4 linked regions of the Elephas maximus indicus genome follow. The protein of the gene in region 1 purifies or fractionates together with the protein of each later gene. This does not show direct contact. Links are inferred from orthologs where the notes say so. Each region holds a gene or a part of one and is shown in the gene's direction. Other genes may lie near its edges. The genes, in order: AURKA, PPP6R2, PPP6C and WDR62.

Evidence for each region.
Region 2: the proteins of AURKA (region 1) and PPP6R2 purify together in Homo sapiens (affinity purification with mass spectrometry; 4 studies listed by BioGRID and IntAct, counting the BioPlex papers as one, with this or other methods). This does not show direct contact. The link is inferred for Elephas maximus indicus from reciprocal best matches to the Homo sapiens genes AURKA and PPP6R2.
Region 3: the proteins of AURKA (region 1) and PPP6C purify together in Homo sapiens (affinity purification with mass spectrometry; 4 studies listed by BioGRID and IntAct, with this or other methods). This does not show direct contact. The link is inferred for Elephas maximus indicus from reciprocal best matches to the Homo sapiens genes AURKA and PPP6C.
Region 4: the proteins of AURKA (region 1) and WDR62 purify together in Homo sapiens (affinity purification with mass spectrometry; 3 studies listed by BioGRID and IntAct, counting the BioPlex papers as one, with this or other methods). This does not show direct contact. The link is inferred for Elephas maximus indicus from reciprocal best matches to the Homo sapiens genes AURKA and WDR62.

Annotation. Positions count from the first base shown.
Region 1 is NC_064843.1:13,200,739-13,208,564, forward strand, and holds the start of AURKA (aurora kinase A), read left to right. Parts: upstream 1-4,826; 5' UTR 4,827-4,904; intron 4,905-4,967; exon of another isoform or gene 4,968-5,087; intron 5,088-5,351; exon of another isoform or gene 5,352-5,461; intron 5,462-7,231; exon of another isoform or gene 7,232-7,255; intron 7,256-7,826. Other genes in the region: CSTF1 (cleavage stimulation factor subunit 1), read right to left, coding at 1,497-1,665. UniProt on the Homo sapiens protein: Mitotic serine/threonine kinase that contributes to the regulation of cell cycle progression.
Region 2 is NC_064822.1:196,686,380-196,693,616, forward strand, and holds the start of PPP6R2 (serine/threonine-protein phosphatase 6 regulatory subunit 2), read left to right. Parts: upstream 1-4,274; 5' UTR 4,275-4,321; coding exon of another isoform or gene 4,322-6,167; intron 6,168-6,218; coding exon of another isoform or gene 6,219-6,382; intron 6,383-6,725; coding exon of another isoform or gene 6,726-7,010; intron 7,011-7,237. Other genes in the region: basic proline-rich protein-like, read left to right, coding at 3,729-4,274, 4,322-6,167, 6,219-6,382, 6,726-7,010. UniProt on the Homo sapiens protein: Regulatory subunit of protein phosphatase 6 (PP6). May function as a scaffolding PP6 subunit. Involved in the PP6-mediated dephosphorylation of NFKBIE opposing its degradation in response to TNF-alpha.
Region 3 is NC_064827.1:76,190,063-76,197,676, reverse strand, and holds the start of PPP6C (serine/threonine-protein phosphatase 6 catalytic subunit), read left to right. Parts: upstream 1-4,611; 5' UTR 4,612-4,708; coding exon 4,709-4,783; intron 4,784-7,614.
Region 4 is NC_064829.1:115,160,628-115,168,270, forward strand, and holds the start of WDR62 (WD repeat-containing protein 62), read left to right. Parts: upstream 1-4,637; 5' UTR 4,638-4,669; coding exon 4,670-4,846; intron 4,847-7,643. UniProt on the Homo sapiens protein: Required for cerebral cortical development. Plays a role in neuronal proliferation and migration.

The DNA of each region.
Region 1 (7,826 bases):
ATCTCTTGATGGTGCTATTGCAAAAACCTCCTAACTGGTCTCCTGACCTCCATGCTCAGACTTCTACAACCCACTCACCACATCATTCCTAAAATAATTTTTAAAATAAACTGGGTATACTCTCAAAAAAAAAGAAAAAAAAGAAGATGCCCCTGGACTGCCCAACCCCCTTCGATCATATTCTGTTTTGTGTATCACTGTGGACCTTTTTGTTTCCGTTTATGCAGACAAGACAGTTCTGTAGGGTATAAACCACAGCTTGTTTCACACTATAGATACTTCTCTGAAGTTTGCCTTCTTTAAAGTGATTTCTCTAAGCTGCAGATTCAGTCATTTTACTCTCTGCTAGAAACACATCCCCAGGTACAGTACGTATGTAGTCATGCCGCCCAGATTCCTGTTCTAGGAGGGATTGCTGCAGGGCACAACCTCGTCCACGGTGGTTACCTTCCCTGTGCAGTCCACATCCTAGGATGGGGTGAGGCCAGGTACACAGGCTTGGTTCTCTTGGCCTGACACAGACTCAGGGACAACATTCACTCTAGTGCCCTCCACTGGGGATGCTTTGTTGGGCCTGAGTTGCATTCGATTTATTCCTCTGCCCAATCCTGCGTGCTCCCTTTCCCTGCTTAGGTGCTGATCCCTATTAAACATCTCATACACAAACCCCACCTTGGCGTCTGCTTCCAGAGCTAGGCCTATAACACACTGCCTATCAGATACAGTTTCAACTCCAGCACAGTAACTGAGACAAGACTATGTATTCAGCCACTCTGTTCTATTGCGTTTTCTATAGCCAGGTGGGCGTTAGAATGCCATGTTGAACAGGACAAGGTCCTGACTGTTACTAACTTTAGCGAGGAGGAGGAGAGACGGCTTGTGCAGGAACAACCCAAACAATAAAGAACATTTCACACAGTGATTCCCTTATGAAGGAAAGAGCCAGGTTGGCTGTGGTGGAGTAACTGGGGAGTGTGGGGAAGATCATGGGATTACTTTAGAGGGTGAGGACAACTCTGAGGTGACACGTGAGCCAAGACCTGAAGGAAGTCAGTAATAACACATCAAAGTCCTTCAGGCCCTGAGGCTGGAAGTGGCTTAAAGTGTTCATGATCTGGACTTTGCTTACCCCATTGGTATCCAGCACTAAACCTGGCACGTTTAAAACAAAAACAAAACAAAAAAGAACCCGCTGCCGCCGAGTCGATTCTGACTCACAGCGACCCTCTAGGACAAAGCAGAACTGCCCCATAGGGTTTCCAAGGCTGTAATCTTTATGCAAACAAACTGCCACGTCTTTTTCCCTCAGAGTGGCTGGTGGGTTCGAACTGCTGACCTTTCAGTTAGCAGCTAAGTGCTTTAACTGCTGCGCCACCAGGGCTCCTTACCTGGTCCATAGTAGGCATTAAAACTCAACTATAATCATCTTAAAAACCTCTGATGCCTGAAAACACCCAAAACCTCGTCTCGGAGCTACGCATTCCCTGACAGGCTACCTAGTTTGATGAGATGCAGGAGCTGCTCTGAGGGGGCACACACGGACTGGGGCTTGATTTCGTTGATGAGGCCGTTGGCAATGCTGATGTAGCCATCATACAGCAGCTGGCTGATGATCAGCTTGTAGAGCTGCTGACGGTCCTTCAGGCCCACTTTGGTTCTGTACATCTTGGAGGCGAGGAAGACGGTTTCCCTGCCAGCTGCAAGAAGAGAACACGGGTGGGTGGGGAAGGGCAGAGGCATGAGGAAATCACCGGACGCAACACAGGTCTCTGGGGTCAGCCGTGTGGGGCTGAAATCCAGCTCTAGTGGCCGCATCATCTTTGGTCAGTGACTTCATTTCCCTGAGGCTCGGGTTCCCCAGCTGTTCAGTAAATCACTGAAGGTTAACAAGATGTGCACATAGGGCACTGAGCACAGAAGGCATTTGAGTCATGCCAGCTGAGATCGAGAGTAGCATTTCCCTTCAACTTACCCTCACCCTTTCCTTCTCTGACAAAACTGTTGTTGGGTGCCATCGAGTCAATTCCAACACAGTGACTCCATGTGACAGAGTAGATGTGTCCTATAGGGTTTCTTGGCTGTAATCTTTACAGGGGCACATTGCCAGGTCTTTCCTCCTGCAAAGCTGCTGGTGGGCTTGAACAGCCAACCTCTTGATTAGCAGCCAAGCACCTACAAGCTGCACCACCCGGGCTCATTCTGCCAAAACCACTTGCCTACAATTTTAATCCTTTATTGCTGTCCCAGGAACTTCCATTTCTTCTGTTAACAAAACACTGAGTGGTGTTGAAAATTGTGGACAGGTGCTACTTTCTCGAACGTCTAGGGACTACTGTTTCCACCAGCTGAGCTGTATGTTTACCAAAGTCAGTCATGCTTGTTCCTAAAATCTGTTTTACGGCAACCAATCTTGTTACTGAATTATATAATTACACAATAAATTAAAATATGAGGGCAAAAAGCTATTGTTTTAATGAAAACTAAAACAAGTTGAATGCTCTGGAAAGACAAAACATGAACCACTTAAAAAAAATATTGCCAACTAACATATGGGAAAAATGGGGGAGAGAAAAGAAAAAATCTGGAATGATTGTGCATTCAGATTGATTTCCAAGTGTCTAAGTGCTCCCAAAGTCTTAAAAGACCTGTAGTAGTCCTATTAAAGGAGCACTGGTGGCACAATGGTTTAGCGCTAGGCTGCTAACCAAAGGGTCGGTGGTTCCAACCTGTCAGTCACCAGAAAAGACCTGGTGATTGGATCCTGTAAAGATTACAGCCTAGGAAACTCTATGGGACAGTCCCACTCTGCCCTACAGGGTTGCTATGAGTTGGAATTGACTTGATGGCACAAAGTAACAGTGGACCTAATTAGATAAGACATTGATTATCAAAAATCACAGACCCAACGAACGTGTGGGCAGGTAATCAGAAGGCTGCAGATGCCTGGGAATAGCAATAAAAAAGAAAAGTTGTGGATTTGCAGCCTGAGAGAGAGAAACAGAGACAAGAAAAACCAGAGTGAACGGTAACATCAGGACCTCTTGGTGTTGTTATATTTACTTGGTATTGCTATATTCTGAAAAAGAAGATGTATGCAGGAAAGAGATGGAGAACCACCTGTTCTAACTACATAGCTTCCTCTGGAGAGTCACTGAGGTTACTGATCATAATAACAGCTAACACTAACTGAACGTTTACCATGTTTTATCTCATTTAATCCTCAAAAGCATCCTATAATGGAGGTTTTGTAATCGCCTTGTTTCCAGGTGAAGGAAAATAAGTTACTCAAGTTCTCACAAGTATTGCCTGGAGAAATCAGGGCTGGAACACTGGGGGTGTGTCTTTAGAGCCCGTGTTGTCCCTAAACACAACTTCGTAATGTTCCCTAAAAGCTTAACAACAATAATCCTGGCTAGTATTTATTTGATATTTGTCGTTCTTGTTAGTTGCCATTGAGTCGATTCCAACTATGGCAACTCCATGTGAGTACAATATGCAGGACACATTGTGTAAACAGCTTACATGCATCACCTCATTCACTCCACAGCTAGTCCTACTTAGAGATAAGCAACCTGAGGCCCAAACCAAAATGAAACCCATTGCTGTCAAATTGATTCTGACTCATAGCAACTAGAAGGACAGAGAACTGCCCCATAAGGTTTCCAAGGAGTGGCTGGTGGACTTGAACTGCCGACCGTCTAGTCAACAGCTGAGCTCTTCACCACTGTGCCACCAGGGCTCCAACCTGAGGCCCAGAGAGGTTAACTAACTCAGCCAGGGTCAAACAGCTTGCTAATGGCAGGGCCTGCGTGCTAACCCCACACTATACTGGTGGGTGTTAATAATAACAGGAACATTTACTGAGCATTCCTACATACTGGACACCGTCCTAAGCACTTCAAGAGTATGCAGAAGCAAATCTATGTACATCTATGCTTCTGTAGGCAATACTGAGACACAACGATGAAACGGGGCTCAGAGAGGTTAGGAAACCCACCAAAGTTAAGTGTGGCTGGTTAATCCACCCAGAGCTCAGAACTTAACTATTATTTTAACCCGTATCTTCAGTGTATCATGGGGTGCACAAAGAGCTCAACAAAAGAAAGCAGAGCGAGCTCCCGCTTCCCAACTCCCATTGTACGTTCACTAGCCGGGCTAGCAGGAGTCTACTTACTATCCCCCGTTTGCAGGTGGGGACACTGAGGCCCGGAGACACGAGGAATGCCGGAGTTGGGAGACCCGGGCGAGAACAAACTCTCCTTACTGTACGCGCCACAACCATCCCAAGGCAAAGGCGAACTAAGAACGGGGAGGGGACGGGCGCGACGTCCCCTTTTAGGAAGAGGAGGGGGTGTGCTGGCCCAGCCCGGCAACTCAGAAAACCGAGCTCAGGCTGCAGGCCTCTCCCCTCACTCTTGACCCTCCTGCCTCTCCTCAGTCCTGCCCGCGGGCCCTTGCAGGCCCCAACCGACCGCACAGCCACTCTCCCCGCATCCCGGAACCCCCTTACCCGCTGATCCGGCTCTCGCGGTCCCCGCTCTCTTTTAGAAAAATGGAGGCGCGAATGCTTCCCAATCGATCGCTCGGCGCGCACGTTCTCTGCGCAGGCGCACAAGGCGCCGCGCCGAGCGCTGCGCTATCGATCGGCCCCATTCTCTCGTCTGCCCTCCTCGCCATCTTACTTACTGGCACGTTCCAGAGGCTCGTTCACCTCCCCTGGATTTATTCCTTGTGCGGCAGCCCTGACGCAAGGGAACTGTTGTTTCCCAGAAAAATGCCCGATCCCGGACAGCACCGCGGGCACTAGGACGGCCCCAGGTCTGGCGGGCCGTTGCGCCACCACTTCCGGCACTTTACGGAGCGAGTGCGCCTGCGCGGATCTCAGCCTTGTCATGTGACTCGAGGTCCGGTCCTTTGTTAACCAATCAGAAGGCAGTCTCTCTTCAACGCAAGCCAATCAACTTTCGGGTTAGAGGGTTTAACTCGTATTTAAAAAGAGGAGGCTTTGCTTCCTAACGGCTAAGATCTTGGGCGGATTGGCGGCCACTGGTCGGAGGTGGCAGGTGACCAGTGTGTAGCGGGCAGGGGTGAGGCCTGGGACGAGGGGGGCTCGTCGAAGGCGGCCTCAGGGCGGGTGGCGGGGCTGGAGGCCGAGGGGCCCAGAGGAAGGTTCCGCGAGGGTCGCCCTCCCAGCCTGTCCACAGTGCCCACCTGGGCTCTTCAGGCGCGTTTCCTTCGGCGGGTGGGCACCGAGGCGCCTTGGAAATGCCGCGTGTTGTTTATTCCCGTAGAAGCGGATGGGGGTTGTTGAGTGGTGTTGCGGGTGCTTCTGATGGGATTCTCGTATTCAGTGAGCAGCTGGGTTAAGAAAAATACGGAGGGGTCTCTGCCGTCCTGGAGTTCACCTTCTGTCTGGGTTGAGGAGACAGACGACGAACTAACAAGATAACGTCCAACAGTGGTGGGTGTTCTGAACCAAGTGAAACAGTTACATGGTTTAACGGGGGTTACTTTAGATCTACTCGGCTGCTTAGGAAAGGTTGGCGGCCAAAGAAAGGTTGGCGGTTGGAACCCACCCAGCGGCCCTGCAGGAGAAAGGCCGGCAGTCTGGTTCTGTAAAGATTGCAGCCAAGAAAGCCCTTTGGGACAGTTCTACTCTGTCACATGGGGTTGCTATGAATTGGAATTGGCTAAATGGCACCCAACAACAGCTTTAGATAAAGGGTCCTGAGTGGCGCAAACCTTATGGAGCGGTTCTGCTCTGCTCACATGGGGTCACCATGGGTAGGAATTGACTGGAAGGCCGCTAACAACAACTTTAGGTAGAATAGCCTGGGAAGGGGCTTATCCTGGCTGGATGAGTGAATGGACAAAGAAATGAATGATAACCTTCTGCAGAGGCCTTCCCAGGCCAGCGTTTCTCAAACCTTGGACCACCTATATGAGATTACTGGGGCCCTTGTTAAAAATGTAAGAAGCCCTGGTGGCCCGGTGATTGAGAGCTCGGCTGCTAACTGAAAGCTTGGTGGTTCGAACCCACCAGCCACTCCACGGGAGAAAGATGTGGCAGTCTGCTTCCACAGAGATTACAGCCCAGGAAACCCTATGGGGCAGTTCTGCTCTGTCCTGTAAGGTCACTGGGAGTCTGAATCAACTCGATTGCAACAAGTTTGTTAAAAATGTAGACCCTTGCTGCATACCCAATGAATCAGAATCCCTTGGGAATAGGACCCAGGTGTGTCTACTTTCAGCAAGCTCTCCAGGTGATTCTGATGTTTCAGTGAGAACTAGTGGTCTATACCAGTGCATAGTATCATCTGGGGATGATGTTAACATTTACGATCTGATTTATTTAGTAGCCTGGGGTTGGCCCTGAGAGTCTCCATTTCTAACAAAAGTCAGGCAGTGCAGCTACTGCCCTTGACTTTCAATTCTGCCCCCTCCTTAATGTTCCTTTTTCCTTGACTTAAACACTTTTCAGCAGTGTACTCAGTTCCTTTCCACTCACTTTCATCTTTGTAGACATTCACAGGTCTCCTGTGCTGAGGGAGGAAAAAAATAAGTCCTGACCGTCAACCCAGAGTGCTGTTAAAGCTAACACTTTTCCTAGTTAGAATTGTAGGATCTCATGAAGGTCCTCTTGTCACTGCCTCCTGCATCTGGTTCTAGATCAGAATCACCCGAGGAGCAGTCTCCCTGGGCGAGTCCTCAGAATTTCTGAATCAGAATCTTATCCATTCTGCTTCTTCATCATTCATCTTCATGAGGAGAAAAAGAAAGAATAAATTGGAGCCAATGTCTGTAGCTTTTGTCAGAAGACTGTTGAGTAAATGTCCTGAGGCCTCTGTGATCTCCTTAGTCAGCTACTTGTGATTGTTAGGGAAACTGGAAGCCTCAGAGCATGTCTTAGAAATTAATGTTTGCATAATATAAACATATAAGTCCTGTTACTTTTTTTGTTTATTATTATTTTTTACTTAACCATTTTCTGTAAGAGCCTGGGCTTTTTAGGCCTCTTCATCATGAAGTTTGCATATTTATAAAATGAATATAAAGCTTTGGGATGTGCTTTCTGGTTGCATTATCATATTCACTGAGCAGCTGGGTAAGACAAATATGGAAACGTTTCTGCAGTCTCGATAGGTGATAGTGCCTGACTCACAGTGTGGGCTTACTGTGAACTTTTTGTTGATGTAGAGGCTGTCCCGGGGCTACAAACAGACCCATTCCTGACTGTGTCTTTAAGAATTTGCAGGTAGGTTGGAACAGGTGCATAGGGTTCTCATTTAGCTTTACTTTAGCGCAAGAAAAGACTTGGAGCCCTTTCGGTGAATTCAGAGCTGTGTGTGTGGCAAATGGAGGTGATCGTGATGAATTTGTTGCAGGTCAGGGGCTGGTTCAATTGTTTCACTAAATCTGTTGCTGTCCAGTCAGTTCCGACTCATAGTGACCCCATAGGATAGAGTAGAAGTGCCCCATAGGATTTCCAAGGAGCAGCTGGTGGATCTGAACTGCTGACCTTTTGGTCAGCAGCCTAGCTCTTAACCACTGTGCCACCAGGGCTCCTCATTTGTTTCAAAGCAAGGGCAAGTTTCCCCAACATTGAAGGATAAGTCTGAGTTATCCGTAAGGCGGACGTTGGTAACTGGGGACTTACTGTACTTTGTAAAAAAAACTCATTGAGTGATTTGATGCATACTGTGTGCCAGGTGCTGTTCTAGGTTCCGGGGGTGCAACAGTGAGCAAAGTAGGACTGAGCCCTTGCTGTCACAGAGCTTTCTTTCTAGTGGGGAGAGGTGCACAGTAAATACATATGTAACGTTCGT
Region 2 (7,237 bases), on another chromosome or scaffold:
TCCAAGGGAAGGCTTTCTCTCTCTGTTGGCTCTGGAGGAAGGTCCTTGTCCTCAATCTTCCCATGGTCAAGGAGCTTCTCAGGTGCAGGGACCCCGTGTCCAAAGGACATGCTCTACTCCCAGTGCTGCTTTCTTGGTAGTATGAGGTCCCCAACTCTCTGCTAGCTTCCCTTTCCTCTTATCTCTTTAGAGGTAAAAGGTGGTGCAGACCACACCTCAGGGAAACTCCCTTTACCTTGGATCAGGGAGGTGACGTAGGTAAGGGTGGTGTTACAATCCCACCCTAATCATTTTAACAGAAAATTACAATCACAAAATGGAGGACAACCACACAATACTGGGAATTATGGACTAACCAAGTTGATACACACATTTTTGGGGGGACATAATTTAATCCATGACTTCCTATAAGATAAAAGGTGGTGCAAGCCACAACCCAGGGAAACTCCCTTTACATTGGATCAGTGATGTGACCTCCGTGAGCGTATTACATCCCACCCTTACCCTCTTTAACCTAACCTAATCTCGCCTCATTAACCACAGAAAGAGATTAGGATTTACAACACATAGGAAAATTACATCAATCACAACATGGAGGACAACCACACGATACTGGGAGTCATGGTCTAGCCAAGTTGACATGTATTTTTGGGGGACACAATTCAGTCCGTGACACTCATGTATGATGTTGTTGATGTCATCCCACAACTTGTCTGGGTCTTTGGTCATTAGTGTTCAATGCGTCAAATCTATTCTTGAGATGGTCTCTAAGTTCAGGTGGGATATTCTCAAGGTCGTACTTTGGCTCTCATGGACTTGTTTTAATTTTCTTCAGCTTCAACCTGAATTTGCATCTGTTTTGCAGTGGGCCCCTGGCCTTGTTGTGATTGATGATATTGAGCTTCTCCGCTGTCTCTTTGCACAGATTTAGTCCATGTGATTCCTGTCTATTCCTTCTGGGAAGTCTATGTGTATAATCACCATTTATGTTGTTTAAAAAAGGTATTTGCAATGAATAAGTCGCTGGTCTTGCAAAATTCTATCACGGGATCTCCAGTGTCATTTCCATCACTAAGGTCATATTTTCCAACTACTGATCCTTTTTCCTTGCTTCCACCTTTTGCATTCCAATCACTAGTAATTATCAATGCATCTTGGTTGCGTGTTTGATCAATTAAGACTGCAAAAGTTGATAAAAACCTTCAATTCATCTTTGGCATTAGTTTTTGGTGTATAAATTTGAAAAATAGTCATATTCATTGGTCTGCCTTGTAGGCATATGGATATTATCCTGTGACATGACTGTACTTCAGAATACATCTTGAAATGTTCTTTTTGATGGTGACAGTGATGGCATTGCTCTTCAATTTGTCATTCCCAGCATAGTAGACCAGATGACTGTCTGATTCAAAATGGTCAATCCGTCCATTGTAGCTCACCAATGTTTACATCAATCTTCAGCACTGCATCTCATTTTTAAGGACTTCTAGTTTTCCTTGATTCCTAGTTCATACATTCCACATTCTGACCATTAATGGATATTTGCAGCTGTTTCTTCTCATTTTGAGTTGTGCCACCTCAGCAAATGAATGTCTCAAAAGCTTGACCCCATCCATGTCATTAAGGTGAACTCTGCTTTTGAGGATGGAGCCCTGGCGGCACAGTGCTTATAAGCTCAGGCTGTTAATCAAAAGGTCAGCATTTAGAAATCACCAGCTGCTCCGTGGTAACCCTATAGGGCCATTCTACTCTGTCCTATATGGGTGTGTTGAGTCGGATTTTACCCTATGGCAACAGGTTTGGTTTGTCTTTTCTACTTTCAGGAGGCTACTCCTTCCCAGTCGTATTTTCAGTGTCTTCCAATCTGAGGGGCTTTTCTTCCAGCACTATACCAGACAACGTTCTGCTGCTATCCATAAAGTTTTCACTGGACAAGTTTTTAAGAAGTAGACCACCAGGTCCTTTTTCCTAGTCTGAGTCTGGAAGCTCCACTGAAACCTGTCCACCATGGGTGACCCTGCTAGATTTGAAATACCGGTGGCGTAGCTTCCAGCATCACAGCAACATGCAAGCCACCACAGTGTTATAAACCACCGAAGGGGTTGCCGAGGGAAGATACTGGCCACGGGGTGCTTGCTGCTGGCCACTGTGAACTGCAGGAGCTGGGTGCTGGAGAAGCTGCACACAAGGCACGAGCAAGGCACTGGGGGGGCCATGAATGAGGCTTTAAAGCTTATCATAATGGCAGCTGGCAAAGGAAAACTATTTGAAGGGCTCAGATCCATTCACGGAGCAGGCAATGAGACTGATGAATTTGGAGCAGAGAGGAACTAAATTGGTGACTGGCATAGTGTTTACATATTTGAGTGCTTCTATTTTTCCAGCATTTTTCCATAGTTCATGCTGAAACCTGAAATAACAATTTCAATTTTAGAGATTTGATGTTGTTGTTGGTTGCCCTTGAGTCAGCTCTGACCTGTGGTGACTTCATGCATAACAGAAAGATTTGCGGCCCGGTCCTACAACATCTTCATGATTGTTGGTGCGTTTGAGTCCACTGTTGCGGCTGTCACGTGAATTCATTTCATTGAGAGTTTCCCTCATTTTCGTTGACCTTCTACCTTAGTAAATATAATGTCCTTTTCTAGGTATTGGTCCTTCCTGATGATGTGTTCAAAGTAAGCAAGGTAAAGTCTTGCCATCCTCGCCTCTAAAGAGAATTCTGGTTGTATATCTTCTAAAACTGAAGCCTAGTGTGACTGAATTTAACAATTCCAACACATGTCAAATGGGCAGTCAAGCATTCTGTGGAGCACCTGGAAAAAATGCACCAGGTGACTGCCTGCTCAGGTGCCCCCAGTCCAGTTAGGAGACAGCATGTAAAGACGGATCTCTGCATGAGGCATGAGGGGACAGACTGCCATTCATTCCTGCTCTGGCTGTGGGGACACCAGGTGCACATGGCATTCAGGAGACACCCAGCTGCCCCGGTGAGGTTGGTTTTCAGCCAGAGAAGCTCCCCCAGAGTATAAACCAAAACGAAACCCACTGCTATTGAGTCGATTCCAACTCATAGCAACCCTACAGAACACAGTAGAACTGCCCCAAAGAGTTTCCAGGGAGCACCTGGTGGATGTGAACTGCTGACCTTGTGGTTAGCAGCCAGAGCGCTTAGCCACTATACCACCAGGGTTCGACCCCCCCCCACCCCATCAAGGTATAGGAGAACAGTGACCTTCCTGGAACACATTAGGCAACCCCCTCCCCCAAGTCTGTTTTGAAGGGTAGTGCAGATGCCCCTGGGTGGAGTGAAGAATGGCTGAAATGAAGTTGATGGGCGATTTGGAGAAGTCCAGGGATTCACACTCAGCAGCCAATATCTAGGTGGGAGGTCAGACCTTCCCCGGGCAAGTAAGAGAAACTTCCCCAGGGTATTAACCAAAACCAAACCCACTGCCATGGAGCTGATTCTGACTCATGGCGACCCTACTACAGGACAGAGTAGAACTGCCCCATAGGGTTTCCAAGGAGCACCTGGTGGATTCGAAATACCAACCTTTTGGTTAGCAGCCGTAGCTCTTAACCACTACGCCACCGGGGGTTTCCATAGTATCTCACAGCAAGAATTAATTATGCTTCTATAACAAAATGTAGCCAATGCTTCAGGGAGCAAGGTAAGAGCAAGAAGCTGCACCCCAACCCACCGTGCTCCGACGCCGCGGACACGGATGTCGTTGCACGAGAGAGCTGGGCGGGCTGCGTTTTACCCCCGTCGCGGACACCCTTCCGAGGCCGGCATTCCGACACACCCAAGCCTTCGTGCTCCTGCCCAGGCTTGCGCTGTACCTCATTTAGCGCCCCTCGGAAAGCTTCTGGAGCGGTCGGGCGCCGGGCGTGCGGAGGAGGCTTCCCGGGTGCAGCGAAGCCCCCTCCCGCCCGCGGGCCTCGGGGGTGCGCTCGGGCCCCGCCCACTGCGCCGGCGTGGCGTCCGAGGCCCCGCCCTCAGCCCCGCCCTCAGCCCCGCCCCGACCGCGCTTGTCTCCGCCCTCAGGCCCCGTCCCACGACTTCGAGCGCGCGCGTCTCCTCCCGCGGGCCCCGCCCCGACTGCGCAACGCCCGCAGGCCCCGCCCCTCAGTCCCGCCCCGCCCTCAGCCCCTCCCCTGCCGCGCGCGTCTCCGCCCGCAGGCCCCGCCCCCGGCGCGAGCGCGCCCAGCGCCGCCGCCGCCGTTGCCGCCATTTTGGAGCGACCGAGCGCCGCCCGCGGCCCAAGCCGGTTCCGAGGCGGTCCCGAGCCGCTGGCCGGCCGCGCCGTGTCCGTAGGCGCCCCGCCCGGCCGGGCCCATGCGCGTGCAGCCCGCCCGAGGTCGCCCGGGCTTCGCCTCCGCCAGCGCCCTGGCCTCCCCCAGGCCTCTGAGGAGCCGCCGAGACGCCCGACTCGGCGGAGCCGGTGAGTGCGCCCGCCCGCGCGGCTTCCTCAGACCCGGCCCGCGGGCCGGCGGGGGGCGGGGCTCCGGGTCGGCGTCCCCACCCGCTGTCAGGCCCCGTCGGTGCGTCAGTGTCGCTCTCCGTCAGTGTCCCACGTCATTCCCCCGCCTGCCAGTGCCCCCCGCGTCAGTCAGCGCCCCCGTGTCTGCTCCTCCTACCTGCCGGTGCCCCCCCGTCAGTGCCCCCCGCCTGCCAGTGCCCCCCGCGTCAGTCAGCACCCCCGTGTCTGCTCCTGCTACCTGCCAGTGCCCCCCGCCTGCCAGTGCCCCCACCTGCCAGTGCCCCCCGCCTGCCAGTGCCCCCCGCGTCAGTCAGCACCCCCGTGTCTGCTCCTGCTACCTGCCAGTGCCCCCCATGTCGGTGCCCCCACGTCATTCCCCCGCCTGCCAGTGCCCCCACCTGCCAGTGCCCCCTGCGTCAGTCAGCGCCCCCGTGTCTGCTCCTACCTGCCGGTGCCCCCCATGTCAGTGCCCCCACGTCATTCCCCCGCCTGCCAGTGCCCCCCGCCTGCCAGTGCCCCCCGCCTGCCAGTGCCCCCCGCGTCAGCCAGTGCCCCCACGTCTGCTCCTCCTACCTGCCAGTGCCCCCCGCCTGTCAGTGCCCCCACGTCATTCCCCCGCCTGCCAGTGCCCCCCGCGTCAGTCAGCGCCCCCGTGTCTGCTCTTCCTACCTGCCAGTGCCCCCACCTGCCAGTGCCCCCCGCGTCAGCCAGTGCCCCCCGCGTCAGTCAGTGCCCCCATGTCTGCTCCTCCTACCTGCCAGTGCCCCCCGCCTGCCAGTGCCCCCCGCGTCAGCACCCCCGTGTCTGCTCCTGCTACCTGCCAGTGCCCCCCATGTCAGTGCCCCCACGTCATTCCCCCACCTGCCAGTGCCCCCTGCGTCAGCCAGTGCCCCCCGCGTCAGCCAGTGCCCCCATGTCTGCTCCTCCTACCTGCCAGTGCCCCCCGCCTGTCAGTGCCCCCACATCAGTCCCCCGCCTGCCAGTGCCCCCACCTGCCAGTGCCCCCCGCGTCAGCCAATGCCCCCATGTCTGCTCCTCCTACCTGCCGGTGCCCCCCATGTCAGTGCCCCCACGTCATTCCCCCACCTGCCAGTGCCCCCCGTGTCAGCCAGTGCCCCCACGTCTGCTCCTCCTACCTGCCAGTGCCCCCCGCCTGCCAGTGCCCCCGCCTGCCAGTGCCCCCACCTGCCAGTGCCCCCCGTGTCAGCCAGTGCCCCCACGTCTGCTCCTCCTACCTGCCAGTGCCCCCCGCCTGCCAGTGCCCACTGCCTGCCAGTGCCCACCACATCAGTCAGTGCCCCCCACATCAGTCAGTGCCCCCGTGTCTGTTCCTCCTACCTGCCAGTGCCCCACGTCAGTGCCCCCTGCGTCAGTGCCCCCGTGTCTGCTCCTCCTACCTGCCAGTGCCCCCCGCCTGCCAGTGCCCCCCGCGTCAGTGCCTCCCGTGTCAGTGCCCCCGTGTCTGCTTCTCCTACCTGCCAGTGCCTCCCGTGTCAGTGCCCCCACGTCTGCTCCTCCTACCTGCCAGTGCCCCCCACCTGCCAGTGCCCCCCGCCTGCCAGTGCCTCCCGTGTCAGTGCCCCCGTGTCTGCTTCTCCTACCTGCCAGTGCCCCCCGCCTGCCAGTGCCTCCCGCGTCAGTGCCCCCATGTCTGCTTCTCCTACCTGCCAGTGCCCCCCCGTCAGCACCCCCCATGACAGTGCCCCCATGTCTGCTCCTCCTACCTGCCAGTGCCCCCCGCCTGCCAGTGCCCCCCGCATCAGTGCCTCCCGCGTCAGTGCCCCCATGTCTGCTTCTCCTACCTGCCAGTGACCCCCGCGTCAGTGCCCCTGGCGTCAGTGCCCCCATGTCTGCTCCTCCTACCTGCCAGTGACACCCGCGTCAGTGTCCCCAGCGTCAGTGCCCCCACATCCATTTTTCCTGCCACTGCCCCCCACGTTAGTGCCCCCACGTCCATTCCTATGTGCCAGTGCCCCCCATGTCAGTGCCCCCACGTCATTCCCCCGCCTAGCAGTGCCCCCCACATCAGTGCCCCCACATCCATTCCTTGTACCTGCCAGTGCCTACCACATCAGTGCCCCCACATCCATTCCTTCTACCTGCTAGTGCCCCCCATGTCAGTGCCCCCATGTCATTCCCCTGTCTGCCAGTGCCCCCCACATCAGTGCTCCCACATTCTTTCCTTCTACCTGCCAGTGCCCCCCATGTCAGTGCCCCCACGTCATTCCTGTCTGCCAGTGCCCCCCACATCAGTGCCCCCACGTCCATTCCTTCTACCTGCCAGTGTCCCCATGTCCAGGCCTCCCGCCTGTCAGCGTCCTACACTTCAGTGCTCCCCACCTGTCAGTGCCCATCCACGTCCACGCTTCCCCCACGTCAGTGCTTCCGCATTGGTGCCCCCACATCATTGTCCCCCACAACATCTGTACCCCCTGCCTGTCCCTGCCTCCCCACGTCAGTGCCCCCCCCACGTCAGTGCCACCCGACCTCAGTGCTTTCTGCCTGTCAGTGTTCTCCACATCGGTGCCCTCTGCCTGTGCTCCCGCGTCATTGCCCCCATGTCTCTGCCTCCTGCCTCTCACTTCCCCCACCTCAGTGCCTCCTGCCTGTCAGGGCCCCCCACATTAGTGCCTCCATATCTGGGCCCCCCACCTGTCAGTGCCGCCCCACATCAGTGCCCCCATATCTGCGCCCCCCTTCTGTCAGTGCCCACCACATCAGTGTCCCCTGCCCTGTCAGTGCCTTCCACA
Region 3 (7,614 bases), on another chromosome or scaffold:
AAGAAAGTGATGGAAACCAAAGCCCAGAGAAAGGAAAATGACTTAGCCTTGTAAGTGGCAGAACCAGGAGCCCGTAACCCCAGCTTTGGGCAAGGAACACTAAGAATGCATTCTAGTCACCAAGCTCTACACAATGTCTCCATGCCACAATACCAGATGTGACTATCACTTTTTGCAAGGACTCACCCAACAGTCCCGAGGATGCTTTTTTCTTTCCTTTCCATTGTGGATGTCAGGAATGAGGTTTGCTCAGTGAGATGGGTCAGCAGGAGGGAACGTCTTGCTTCCAGTTTGGTAACGTGATGACTGCCACCTATTTTTCACTAGAAGGGGATACCACCAGCTTTCATTACCTATCTGTTCACAGACCCATTAGCAAAGGAAGACAATGATGCTGGTGACACTTTCCTTTTAAGCACTTCACAGTCTATAAAGAATGTTCACATCCATCTCTCTATTTGCCCAGACGTTTAGAGATGAAAAGTGAATTGCCAGATCTCCAAAGAGGACTGTAATAAAATCAAACAACAGGAGCAACAAAAATTTCCAAATGGGGACATTTTTCTCCAAGAAACTCTTAGTATATTAGCTCTCTTAAATTCCTCAGTCTTAAATGTTACCTCATCTGAAGGACCTTCCTTCCCACCTAATACTCAGACCTAACACTCAAATTGTACTCTGTGCAAAACACTTTTAAGTACATATTAACTCTACTAAACCTCAATACTAGTCTCTTCATAAGAGGCTGGTACTATTATCCTCTCTATATTGAAGCTGAGAAAATTAAAGCATAAAGAGGATAAATACATTGCCCAAAATCACACAGTAATTGGTAGAGTCAGGATTTGAAATCAGGCCATTTGGTGTTAGAGTCTGTATACTTTATGTCTACCATACTGCCAACCTAAATTCGGTCTCTTCTACTCCATTTTTCTTACTCGCAATATCCCTTTTTTCCCTTTTTAGCAGTAATCATAATTTGCAATGAAATATTTGCTCATTTATTTGCTTATTATTTGTCTTCTAGAAAACTCTAAACTCCACAAGGGCAGGGACCATAGCTGTCTTATTCACATCATGGGCATTATATAACTATTTGTTTTATGAATGAAGAAATGAATGCTTATGGGCAGCATTCATTCTGCAACAACATTTATTTATTTCTTGTATAAGCTTCATTTCTATTAATCCAAATTAGTGAGTTTTTTTTTTTTTGAACTTTAGATGAAGGTTTATGGAACAAACTAGCTTCTCATTAAACAGTTAGTACACATACTGTTTTATGACATTGGTTAACAACTCCATGACGTCTCAACACTCTCCCTTCTTGACCTTGGGTTCCCTATTACCAGCTTTCCTGTCCTCTCCTGCCTTCTAGTCCTTGCCCCTGGGCTGGTGTGCCTCTTTAGTAATGTTTTGTTTTATGGGCCCATTTAATCTTTGGCTGAAGGATGAACTTCAGGAGCGACTTCACTACTGAGCTAAAAGGTTGTCCGGGGGCCACACTCCTGCGGTTTCTCCTGTCTCCCTCAGATCAGTAAGTCTGGTCGTTTTTTGTGAGTTAGAATTTGTTCTGCATTTTTTCTCCAGCTCTGTCTGGGGCCCTCTATTGTGATCCCTGTCAGAGCAGTCAGTCGTGGTAGATGGGCACCATTAGTTGTACTGGGCTCAGGCTGGTGGAGGCCATGATAGTTGTGGTCCGTTAGTCCTTTGGACTAATCTTTCTCTGTGTCTTTAGTTTTCTTCATTCTCCCTTGCTCCGAAGGGATGAGCCCAGTGGAGTATCTTAGATGGCTGCTCACAGGCTTTTAAGACCCCAGATGTTCCTCACCAAAGTAGAATGCAGAACATTTTCTTTATAAACAACACTTATTTTTAAAATTAATTTTATTTTGAAACAACTTCAAATTTACAGAACAGTTGGAAGAATAATACAAAGAACTTCACGCAGAGACCTCATTAAAGTTTACCTAATTGTACCAAAAATATACTTTAGAGCATGAGGATCCAGTCCAGGGTTACTTTAACAAGAAATACTCACTGAATACTACTGTATTATGTAACAGTCTTCTAACTGGTCTCTCAGCTGTAACCATTGCTCTCTACATTTTCATACAGCAGCCAGAGTGAGCCTTTAAAAAAACAAGTTAGATCATGTTATTCCTTTGCTCAAAGCCCTGCAATAGTTTCCATTCCATTAAAAGTAAAATCAATGCTCTCCTTTCCTCCATTCCTCTGATCTTCTCTCCTACTCTTGCTCCGAGCACACACTTCCTGTTTCCCAAAGACTCTCGATACACTCTTGTCTTAGGGCTTCTGCACTAGCTCTTCCTATGAATTCACCGAAGTAGCTGCATGGCTAACTTCCCATCTCTTTGTTGGCTCTAAAAATACAATACTCTATCTCCCTTACCCTGTTTGTTTCTCCTCTATAGTACTTATCATTTTTTTTATAGTTATTTATTATGTTTATTGTTTATGTTCTGTTTTCCTCTGCTAAAATGTTGAGGGTAGGGATCTTTGTCTATTTTGTTCACTGAATATCCCAAACACCTACAACCCTACTGTTCTTGGTGCTAGGGATTAAAAAAAAAATAAATAAATATATACACACACACACACACACACACACATATATAAGCATGTGCTATGTCATGCATCATATATATATTATATACACACACATATACACATAGCCGTGAACCGTATAATGTCTGTTTGGGCAATGTTCAACCATATATATGCCCGCGGTCCCATAAGGTTATAATAGAGTTCAGAAATCCTGATTGTAGAACAGAACATTGTAGTGAATGCAATGGCTTCCAGTACATAACACATGTATCTCATGTCTCTTGTATACAACGCAATTGCTCTGCTAAGTGTATAATGGTACAGTACATACATAACATACAATATGTCTTGATAGTCATAGTAAACACCTGTTAATGGCTTATGTATGTACTGTACTTCCTATTGTCATTTTAATGTGAAGTTTCCCTACTTAGCAATAAAAACTTTATTATATAACATTGTATGCTTCAACTTGTAGGCAGCAGCATCCGATCTCATGTATCACACATCTCTGGAGTGTTGTACTGTTATCTGTTTAATTTTGTTTCAAAAATATTACCACACAGTGCATCATGGCTCCCAAATGCAACAAAACCAGTGCTAGTAATGGCAGCAGTAAGAGGCAAAGGAGAAGTATTGATTTGGAAGTGAAATAAAAGGTTACTTAACAACAACATTAAGGTGGAAAATCAGTGAATGCTCTTGCTCACGATTTAGCCATGTTGCTCTCAACAATCATGACGATCCTCACAAATAGAAAAAATTCTTCAAGCTGTTAAAGAATCAGTTCCACCGAAAGCTACAAGGCTAAAGAAAACGCAAGAGGGATCTACATCAGATATGGAAAAATTGCTAATGACATGGATTGAGGACCAAACACAAAAGTGAACCCCCCAGCACACTGATGATCACTGCTAAGGTACAAAGTTTGTTCGAGATGCTTAACGAAAAAGCAGGACCAGACTACAATGCTGAGTTTAGTGCTAGCTCTGGGTGGTTCACATGCTTCAGACAATGGTTTTCGCCGCATAGTGTTAAAGTGAATGGTGAGTCTGTGAGTGCTGATACAAAGGCAGCAGAAGAATTTGTTGAAACCTTAGATAAACTAATAGTACAGGGAGGTTATTTGCCCCAGCAAAATTGTATTATGGACAAAACCTCTTTATTCTGGAAGCAAATGCCTGAATGGGCTTTCATCCTTAAGGAAACCAAGTCAGTGCCAGGCTTTAAGGTTTTTAAAAACAGAGTGACAGTATATAAAATGGTGTCTGCATGTCTAAATCATATAATGTCCTATTCCACAGAATGTACGGTGGACATTAAGCGATGAGTGACTCTCTGTATATATCTGTCCCTGCCCTCCTGAGACTCACACTGAAGTATGTTTAAGCCAGCAGACCTATTTTTCAATCTCGGCTCTGGCAGGTATTCCCTGTGCCATTTTGGGAAGGTTCCTTAACCTCTCCTGTTTCCTATGAATCATTATGAGGATTCAGTGGAATAACAGCATCTGTAAAGCATTTAGCATAAGAAATATTTGAATATTTGTTTTCCATTCTTCCAGGAAGGGAAGATTGGGAGCCTGACATCTCTGCCACAGGTTTAGGCAAGGTTTTCACAAGGCCTCGGAAAGGTGCAAACAGGTTACCATGGCTAAGCTTACCCAATTTTTAACTGGAGATGTTCTGGTAAGACAGAGAGGCAAGTACTTAGAATGGTCGGAATGAGAAACCAGGAAATGGATAGGGAAGCTTACTTTGCCGTTTTTCATTGGAAAATCCTTGCCGGGTACCCAGAGGTGAAAGTCTAGAGGGAGAGACGGGAAAGAAAAGAGGAATAGATGGTCACAAATACAAACTACAAACCCCAGCATTCCCCGCGGCAGACAACTACAACCCCGGCCACTTTCGGTCGCCGGGCCGGGGGCTCTAAGGTCCTGCAGCCTGCGTGCAGCCAGAGAGGGCGTGAGCCGTGCCCAGGCAGCATGAGGAATCAGGTCGAGCTTTAACGTTGCTGCGCAGACGCCTCTCTCACGGCCGGACGTGACGTAGAAGAGTTCCGGCTTCGGCCTCTGCCGCTGCCGCCGCTGCTACAGTCGCCGCTGCCGCCGCCGCCTTTGCGGCTTCTTTTTTCTAAAATGGCGCCCCTAGACCTGGACAAGTATGTAGAGATAGCGCGACTGTGCAAGTACCTGCCGGAGAACGACCTGAAGGTGAGTCTGGCCAGGGCGGGAGCCCTGCTTGCGGGGCTCGCCCCTTCCGGCAGTGGGGCTCCCGCCGTCCCGCCCTTCCTCCGCGGTACACTGCCGGGTATCCCGTCCCGTCGCTGTGGACGGCCCGGTGCCGTACAAAGCTGCTCGGTTCGACCTGGCGTCACGCGGAAAGCCCAGGAGCCCAGGTCCCTCGAATGCCGTCCTGGTTCCCTCAGCAGGAATCCCGAGGGAAGTCGCGGCTCCTGCCCCAGAGTCACCCCTTCTGGCACCAGGGCTACCCCAGGACTCCGAGCCCTAACAGCCTTGTTTAGAAGACGGTTCCCCCCGACCTCCACCCCCGGGTTTCCCGGAGTCCGAACCGAGCCCTAGCCGGCAGTGTTCTCGAGATGGGGTCGTCTTTACTAGAGGTGACAGGAGCCCGGGGTGACTGGTGTTTGACGGGAGATACCGCCGGCGTCCCGGAACGCAGTCCTGGTGTGTTTAGGTTACTGAAGAGTGGGAAGGCGATTGGCCAGAGCGGTTTGGTACCGATGTGAGGGAACGTCAAGTTGTCCTCCATTCCAGTTGCTGTTTAGGAGTGTTGGTTTTGTTGTACTAATTCAAATGCGAATTAGGTTTATGAGTATATTACTGAGCTAAGTTAAGAGTTATCCTTAGTTGAGGTAGTAGGACCTCAGTAAATACAAGTGCTTTTCTGTCTTTTAAGTCATTCGCCCACAATCTCCTTTTAACTCAAGATCTCATTTTCTTTGTTTTCTAAAGGAGGTGAGTTGTTCTTGTTAACTGCCCAGTCCTAGTAAGTAAGAGTAAAGGAATGAATGTCAAAGTAGAGGAGTATAAGTCTTTGTTGTACTGGTTTTTAAAAAAGTGTTTCTATGTGCTTGCTAAAATAAAACCAATACTTCGGTGTCTAGAAGTTATTTACCTGTTAGTGCTAATACCTGTTTTATTTGTTCACTAAACTTTGATCTCTTATGTGGTAAGGGGATAGATAAATTGTTGGTCGTTTGAGTTCTTTTTATTCTTTAAGCTATGGGTTTAAAGCAATTTATCTCTGTTTTTGAATTCTTTATCGTAAAGAAGAGATTACTGTCTTTTTCTTCTGTTGTCTCCCTTGGTACAGAAAATTGATATTTAACATAACATCAATCAAACAAGTATGCAAAATGTTTAAGGTCACTTGTGCTGTTGGGAATGTACTTACGAAAACCAAACCCATTGCCGTCTGAGTTGATTCTGACTCATAGCAATCCTATAGGACAGAATACAACTGCCCCATAGGGTTTCCAAAGAGTGGCTGGTGGATTCGAACTGCCTACCTTTTAGTTAGCAGTCAAGCTCTTAACCACTGTGGCCACCAGGGCATGTTAATTATATATGCCATATGATAGAATTGTGGTGTTAGCGAAGAATACTACATATACCACGGACCGCCAAAAGCACGAAGAAATCTGTCTTGGAAGAAGTACAACCAGAATGTGCCTTAGAAGCAAGGATGACAAGACTATGTCTCACATACTTTGGACATGTTATCAGGAGGGATCAGTCCCTGGAGAAGGACATCACACTTGGTAAAACAGAGGGTCAGCAAAAAAGAGGAAGACCCTCAATGAGATGGAGTGACAGTGGCTGCAACAAGGGACTTAAGCATAACAACGATTGTGAGGATGGCGCAGGACCAGGCAGTGTTGCACGACCAGTCAGTGTTTTGTTCTGTTGTGCATAGGGTCACTATGAGTCAAAACCAGCTCGATGGCAACAACAACAACATGATAGAGGAGTCATTCTTGTGTATTTTTTCCCTTTTTAATAGGACTGTTTAATTTAAATGAGAACAAAGCAGATATTAGTAGTGTAGCTTTCATGCTAATCAGAGTCCTTCAGATATTAGCTTTGTGACTTCTTTCTGCTATATGCTTTTTTGGGAAACAAGAATATAACCAACACTGGGACCCAATTTATGGGAAACTAAAAAAAAAAAATTTTTTTTTTTTAACCATACCTCTTTTGGTAGTATTGTTAATCCCATAGCTGAAGTTGATCGTTGCATATCAATGAATTGATGTGAAATTTTGTTTTCTTTTTATTAATCATACTGGAACTGTTTTAAACTTTGTGTCTATAAGAAGTGTTGTCTTTTATTAGGAAAATGTGTCTTAATATTGACTTGAAATTGGATACTAAAATGATTTGAAAAATAATCAGTTGGATTTTCTTTAGGCCTCTTAGTTTGATAAACATTAGCTTTTCTTCTCACTTAGGAAATAGTAAGCCATTTCATTTTCTTTAAAAAAAAAATTGACAGCAACGAATTTCATTTTTTTTTTTTTTTTTTTGGTTTGGTACTTAGCTTGCATGTTTATAAATAAACTTTTTTTTTTTTTAATTTTGAATCTTCTGAGCAACTACTGAGGAAAAAGAACCTTAATTTTTCCATATAAGTAGAGGATTTCCATCTTTGTCTTGGTGTATTTAAGGAAATTTGATTTTATTTTTGTTTCTTGGCATGAAGTGCAAACCAAAATTAGTCTGACTAAGAAAGTATTTCAGGAGCACCTTTTCTTAGGCTTCAAAGCCAAGATACAAGATTCTGTCAGAGGAGGGAAAGAAGTTATGAGGGCCACTTAATGATCTTAATGGAAAAGATTTGTTCTAGTAAAAAAGAAAATAATGGAAATTTACCTGTATTAATTTTAGATTGACTAGAAGTTGGAGGTACTAATGAAATAGTAAACGCATAGCATGTTCTAGATCTGAGATTTCTCTTTAGCTAAATTGGAAGTGGTTATATCACTAGTACTGGATCAAACCTACAAAGAGATCCTGTGATT
Region 4 (7,643 bases), on another chromosome or scaffold:
ACTCTAAGGGGGATGATTTAGGGACAGACTGACCAGTGCCCATCTTGTTTATGGATCTTATCCCTTCTAATTAGTCAGCCAAGGGAAGGATGTGTTTGAGAGGCCCTGGCTATACAGAGGCGCAAAACTCAGTTACCCTGATAATCTCAGGTGGCGAAATTCAAGTACCACACCTTCCAGAGCCAATATTTGCAAGGAGTGTATCTTGCTCCAACTAAGTTGATATCTTATGTGAGACTCAGTATCTAAAATTAGAAAGAATGTTTCAGTACACTCCTCAGAAGAGAGAGAAAACCATCCTGCACCCAGAGGGTCCTGGATTTAAGCCAGTTGAGTCTCCCTAGCTAGCACACCAGACAAACGGCGGTGGCGGGGGCGGCGGGCGAGGGGGATGCAGGACACAAAACAATATTCCTCATCCAGATCCTGACCAAAAACATGCAGGGGTCGAGACAAAAGACCCAAAGGAGGCCTGTGCTCTCGTGTGGTGAGGACTCAGCCCCAGGACAAAACGACAGTCTCCCCAAGTGTCCTCCGGGTGTGGGGGTCAAGGGCTGTGCCCTCATGCAGGTGGGGACTCAGCCCCAGGACACAGGGAGAACACCACAAGGCCTAATAACACCCGTTACTGAGGACACAATCCACCACTTAGTAGCTACTCCAAAATGAAACTTAAAAATAGGTACCTGTTTCACAGTGCTGTCGGAATGTTTCTGTTCTCCAACAGGGGACTCATGGGTTGTCCAGTCCGGGGTTGGTGCCGCCCAGAAAGTCTTCCCCGCCCAGTGAAGGGTGGAGGGTGCCCTTCGGAGGAGGTTTCAGGACCTAACTTACCCTGAGCTGGAGTCTCCACTGAGTCCCATCTGGGGTGCCATATGAAACTGTCAACTAATAGATTCTTGTCAAGCAGACCAGCGAACTGAAGTCAGCCAGGCACAGGGCTGGAAGAACAGAAGGGTTTATTCACAGTTTGCGAACTGGGAGGCAGGCATGGTCTCGTGACCCAAGGCTGCCAGCTCCCTGAACCAGGACAGATCTGCTCCTTTTATAGGGAGTTACATACATATGCATGAACAGTGAGAGGAGGACCTTCAGTCTTGTGATGCGCACAATCCGCATAACTTTAGTGAATGGGTTTTTGCATGTAGCTCTAAAAATACTGCACACAGCCCTAAAAAAAAAATGGTGACGGCTCACTACTGCCACCCCTGGAAGGTGATACAGGAGGTAGATTGGGAGTTAGTGTGCCTACACCTCTGCCTCCTGCTAGCAGAAAAGAAGAAACCTGGGGAATCAACCAATCATGGTGAAATGCTGTAAAAGTTGTAAGAAAAATGCAGCGAAAGTAGACTTTTCTGAAAAACAACTATTATGAGATGGTTAATAACCCTTAATAACCCTTTCATGACTGCCCACTTCAATTTCACATAGAGTGGTTGTCAATGGTCACAGAAGGCCTCGCTGAGGTGATAGAAAAGTAAGAACTTTTCATGCAGAGGGAACAGCATACGCAAATGCCCTGGGGCAGTGACGTGCCTGCCATTCTAGGGAATGGTTGGGGCACAGTGAGGGGCAGAAGAGGGGAGAAGATGAGGTCACACCGGTATTGGGGAACCTGCTCCTGCAGGGCTTTGTGGGCCTGCTTTCTGCCTGTTCCAGCCTTATCTTTTTGTCTTTTATGGAGTGAGATGGGAGCTGTGGAAGGGTTCTGAGATAAGGAGGGTCCTCACCTGACTCAGGTGTTAACACAGGTCCCCTGGCTGCCTGTGGGGAACAGGCTGTGGAAAGCAGGGAGACCAGTGAGGAGGCTACTAAAATAGCCCAGTTACAGGTGCTAATGACCAAAACCAAGGTTGGGGCAGAGGAGGAGGTTAGAAATGGTCAAATTTTGGGTTGATTTTAAAGGTAGAGCCAACACGATTTCCTTATGGACTGAATGAGAAAAATGTGCCCTAGCCCAAACAGCCTTAGACCACAAATATAAACCCACAGTCCCACAAAGTCAGCTTTATTTACCACGGCGATGAGGGAGACTGCACACCAAACAAAGGAAACGAGAGAGTCATTGGCTTTGAGAGCAGGGTGACGCATAAATGAAGCGGTATCTGAACAGGTTTGGAGTAAAGCAGGATTGTGTGTGAAGGGACCAACGTCAGGTCTGGATTGAGAAGGGGGCCCAGGGCCCTGTCTCCCTGGGGGCAGTAAAGGCAGATGTGGACTACTGTGTCCAGAAACCCCCTATCTGAAGCTCTGAACCTAGACTGTAAATAGAGACTGCTTCTCTTTGTCTAAGTGACTTAGACCCTCCAGGTAAAAGTGAGATGTTTTATTTTTACGGATATAATTTCAAACAGCAAAGTTTGTAATAGTCCATGATTTTAGAGAACAAAATTTCTCAGCGAGTAATAAAGCAGTGGAGCCCTGGTGGTGCAGTGGTTAAGACCTCAGCTGCTAACCAAAAGGTTGGCAGTTTGAATTCACCAGCCGCTCCTTGGAGACCCTATGGGGCAGTTCTACTTTGTCCTACAGGGTCGCTATGAGTTGGAATGGACTTGATGACAACAGCTTTAGTTTCTGGTTTTGGAATAAAGCAGTAGTCACTCAGAGAAAGGGAGCTGTGTCATTTACAGAGGCAGCATGTCCCTGGAAGAAATATTTTTTCCTATTAATTTCGTCACTGGCTTTTTCCGTGTCTGTTATTCCAACCCAATAAATGGGAGGGCAATTTTTTTTTTTTTAATAGCCCATGCTAATTTTTCATCCTTAAGTGTTTCAAGTCCTCTTCACTTTCAGCAAGCAAGGTTGTGGCATCTGCTTATCGCAAGTTGTTAGGAAGTCTTTCTCCAATCCTGATGCCCCATTCTTCTTGGACCCACGATCAACACCCATGGAAGCAGCAGTCAAGAAATCAAATGACGCACTGCATTGGGCAAATCTGCTGCAAAAGACCTCTTTAAAGTGTTAAAAAGCAAAGATGTCACCTTGAAGACTAAGGTGTGCCTGATCCATGCCATGGTGTTTTCAATCGCCTCACATACATGCGAAAGTTGGACAATGAATAAGGAAGACCAAAGAAGAACTGACACCTCTGGATTACGGTGCTGGTGAAGAATATTGCATATACCACGAATTGCCAAAAGAACGAACAAATCTGCCTTGGAAGAAATACAGCCAGAATGCTTCTTAGATGCAAGGATGGCTAGACTACCTCTCACATACTTTGGACATGTTATCAGGAGAGATCAGTCCCTGGAGAACGACAACCTGCTTGGTAAATTAGAGGGCCATCGAAAAACTAGAAGACCCTCAATGAGATGGACTGACATAGTGAGTGCAACAGCGGGCTCAAACCTAATGATTGTGAGGATGGCTCAGGACTGGGCAGTGTTTCATTCTGTTGTACATCGGGTCCCTATGAGTCGAAACCCACTCGAGGGCACCTAACAACAACACACTAACTTTTATTTTTTCAAACGTGAGAAAAGACAAACGTTAAGATGACTCCAGTCTGCGTGGCTGAAAGGATGGAGTAAGCTATTAACTGTGATAGGGAAAGCTATGGAAGGGTTGGGGAGACAAGGTCAGGAGCTCAGTTTTAAGTGTGAGACACTTCGAACTCATCGCGATGGCGAGTGGACAGTTCCATAGAAGAGCCGGGACCAACCTCTCATTTCCCTACATGCCTTACCGCCCTTTGCCTTCGCTCGCTCCATTCACTACCTAGTTTATCGTCTACTCCTGCTTATCCCGCATCTGCACCTCGGCACGTGCGGTCCTCGCCGCCGGGAACAGCGTCTCTCCACCTTGCTAAGCCCTACTCCCGGATGACACTCTCGAGGGGGACCCGGTGGCCCGCCTCGTCCCCGCAAGGCCCGCCCCGCGCTGGCGCTCACCCGCGGAAGCTCGCATGGCTCGCGGCGCCGGAGCAGTTCGGAGCCCGGCAGCACCGGGGCAGGGCGATGCAGCGTCGCGGCGTTTAGCCGGGTCGGCAGCCCGGAACCCGCCCGCTCGCGCGCCTCTCGCCTGCCTCACGTGACGGCCCGCGCGTCCTGTCAGCGCAGGAGCAGGGAAGGCGACGCCTGCGTGCTACGCGCCCCGACGCGTCGCCACGGCTACGTCCTCGTCGCGTCGCGAACGGGGAAAACCACGCACGTCTCCGTAAAGCCGGCTTCCGGTGTCGTCACGGCGTTTCTGAGCTTGCGCCAACCGAGTGGCTTGGCCGCCAATCTCTTCCGGCTCCACCCTGCGCCTACTTCCGGTGGCTGACAAAGGCGCGGTTAGTCAACCTGGGTGGCCGTGAAAAGCGAGGTGAGGCGGTCATAGCCTTACCTCGTAAAGTGAAACATGTATGGCCAGTGAATGAGACAAACGCAGACTGGATGAAAAGCACCAGCACGTTCGATCAGAGCAACAAGTAGGCTCGAACTCAGGTCCTTCCTATCAAAGGCGGTACCCTTAGCTGAGGCTCCCCCGCGCTGGGGACTCCGCCCCGCCTCCTAGCCCTCATTGGTCACAAGTGCCGCCCGGCAGCCCTGCGATTGGCCAGACCGGCGGCCCGCCGCGTCCAATAGGCGGCGGCGCCGGATTTCCCGCGCCCTTCGCCGTTCGAGTGGGTCTTGCCGGCAGTGGAGGTTGATGCGCGTAACGGTCGCCCGACCCCGCTGCGACGATGGCGGCCTTGGGCCCCGGAGGCTACGCGCGGAACGACGCGGTCGAGAAACTGTCGTCTGTCACCGCGGGGGTTCCGGCGAGGAGAGGCCAGCCCTCCCCGCCCCCCGCCCCACCGCTCTGCCTCCGGCGGCGGACACGACTCACGGCGGCGCCGGAGGACACGGTGCAGAGCCGGGTGAGAAACTACTTGCCCTACCCATCCCGGTTGCCGGCTTCCCTGGGCCGCCCCTGGTCCCGCCCCTGGTCCCGCCCTCAGCCGTTGGGCCCCGCCCACCAGCCCGGGCTCTTCCCCTCCGGCTGCTCCCTGGCCCCGCCCTCCCTAAGCCCCGCCTCCCCAGGCGAGGCCCCGCCCGCCTTGCTGTCTCCTCCCCCCGGGTCCTGCCCATCATTCCTAGCCCCACCTCTCAGCCCCTGATCCCACCCCCAGCCCTTGGGACGTTGTTGGCTTCCTGCCTGGTGCCGCCTCGCGTGCCTTCTGGGTTCTGACAATGGCCTCCTAGAGTAGGCTTCCCCAGCCTCCCTTAAGCTCACTCAATCACCTTTAGACGTTTCCTCTTGCACTTTTGTGGGCCCCGCCCCGCTGAGTCTTCGGGGTCTCTAACAGGGTTCAGGGAACGCTGGTGGCGCAGTGGTTCAGGGTCAGGCTGCTAACCAAAAGGTCAGCAGTTCGAATCCACCAGGCGCTCCTTAGAAGCCCTATGGGGCCGTTCTTTTCTGTCCTACAGCGTCGCTAGGAGTCGGAATTGACTCAACGGCAGCTGGTTTTTTGCCATGGTTCAGAGTCCCTGGGTGGTGCAACCTGATAATTGCCCGGCTGCTGACCAGAAGGTCAGAGGTTGGAGGTTAAGCCAGGGGGATAGCCTTCTGGAATATCGGGCATTGAAAACGCTGTGGAGCACAGTTCTGTCCTGACACAGTGAGGCTCTCATGAATCAGAATCCACTCCGGGGCGAGAAATGGTCCTTTTTTTTTTTTTTAAAGTAGGATTCAGCCAGAATCCTACCAATCCTAATTCTTTCTCAGCTCTGTTCAGCCTTCTCTCACTCCCTGCTTCTTCCTTCCTTTTCTTTACCAAGGTGGGATTCTTATTCCATATTGCCGCTCAAAACTATGAGGAAAATGTGAGTAATATTTGTAAAACCTCAGCAGTACTGGCTCCAGAGGGAGGGAGTACAGCAAAGTGGTTCCTTAAGTCGGGTAGTAAGTAGGAGTTCCTTTAGTGTGGCATCAGTTTTTAAAATTATCTTCCAACTCCTCTAGCTACAAAGTGTTTTTGTAAAATGGTGGTAATAAAAACCGTACCTTGGTGTGGTAGGGAGAGGAAGTGAAACGAGGACTGTGACCTGCTTAGCACAGTGCATGGCATCGGATAAAGGGTGGATCAAAACAACACACAACAGCTGCTGTGCAGTCAGTTCCAACTCGTGGAGACCCCATTTGTTTCGGAGTAGAACTGTGCTCCGTAGTGTGGCTGTGACCTTTCGGCGGCAGATTGCCAGGCCTTTCTTCCAAGGCGCCTCTGGGTGGGTTGGAACTTCCAACCTTCGGTTAATAGTTGAGCACTTAACTGCTTGTGTCCCCAGGGACTTGGTGGTAGCCGTTGGTGAGTCTCATTCCTTCTCAGTGGCTTCCTGCTGCACTCTGAATGTATCCCCTATTCCTGCCTGCAAAGCCAGGGCAAGTGGCCCCCTGCACACCTCTCTGGTTGCAGCTTCCCTGGCCTCCCTCACCAAGGTCCAGCCACACTGCCAGTCTTCTTTCTGCCTCCCTGAGGCTCCACGCTCTTTTCTGACTCGTAGCCTTTGTGTTTGGTCCGTCCTCTGCCTGGGCTTTTTGCTGCAGCATACCTGGCTGCCTCCTTCTCATTCCTCAAGTGTCAGCCTGTGGAGCTGTACTGTCTGGGTTTGTGTCCTCACCTCGCCACTCCCAGGTGTGGGACCCTGGGCCTCAGTGTTCTCATCTGTAAAATGGAGGTGATAATACTACCTTCTTCCTTGGATTGTTGTGGAGGCTTAAGTCTTTCATCCATATGAAAGTAGTTAGGTACTTATTCCATCCATATGAAAGTATTAGGTACTACCCTGAGAGGCCTTCCTGAACCCCAGTCTGAGCAGACACCCCCCTTAATCTCTCATCCTTCACCCTGCTCTTCATAGCCCTTAGCTTATCAGTTCCTGGAAGTGCCTTGAGAGCGCCTAAGCTGCATGTGACTGTAGGGGAGCAGCAGCAACGACTTCCGAGAGGCGGGCTAGCAGAGCGGGTGAGAGTGCAAGCCCTGGACTCGGACGCCTGGGCTGAGGATCTAATCCTGCGCTTTCTGTCAAGTTAGGAACTTTTCTGCGCCTCCATTCCTGCATTTGTAACATGGGGATAATAAGATGACTGCACTCTCTCAGGGCATTTGCAGGGATTAAAAGAGCTGTTCCATCTTAAGCACTTAGAACAGAGCCCGGCACATTGCAGGTACTGTTATTGTCAGCTTCTACCGTTACGTCCTTGTGTGTGTTGAGTAACAGATGCCGTTTATCTTTCTTGTTTGGCAGCACAGAATCCCTCTGGTTTGTAAAAGATTTAGTCCAAAATGACAGTCCGTCCAGTAATGCTGACTGACAGAGAAAACCATGAGAGTGCTGTTGCCCGGCTGAATGGGTGACTGGGCTGAAGTTACTCACTGGGCCTCTGTTTCAGATGGGGATGGTCTAATGATAGTGACTGGATCACAGGATTATTATGTTTGTTGAATTAATACAGTTATGGTATTCGAGCAGTGTCTGACTGCTGGTAAGTGCTCAGTATATGCTAGCTATTGTTATCCTAGGAGCCCTGGAAGCTCAGTGGTTGAGAGCTTGGCTGTAACCAAAAGGTCAGCAGTTCAAATCCACCAGCCACTCCTTGGAAGTCCTATGGGGCAGTTCTACTCTGTCCTGTAGGGCCACTATGAGTCAGAACCAACTTGACAGCAATGGGTTTTT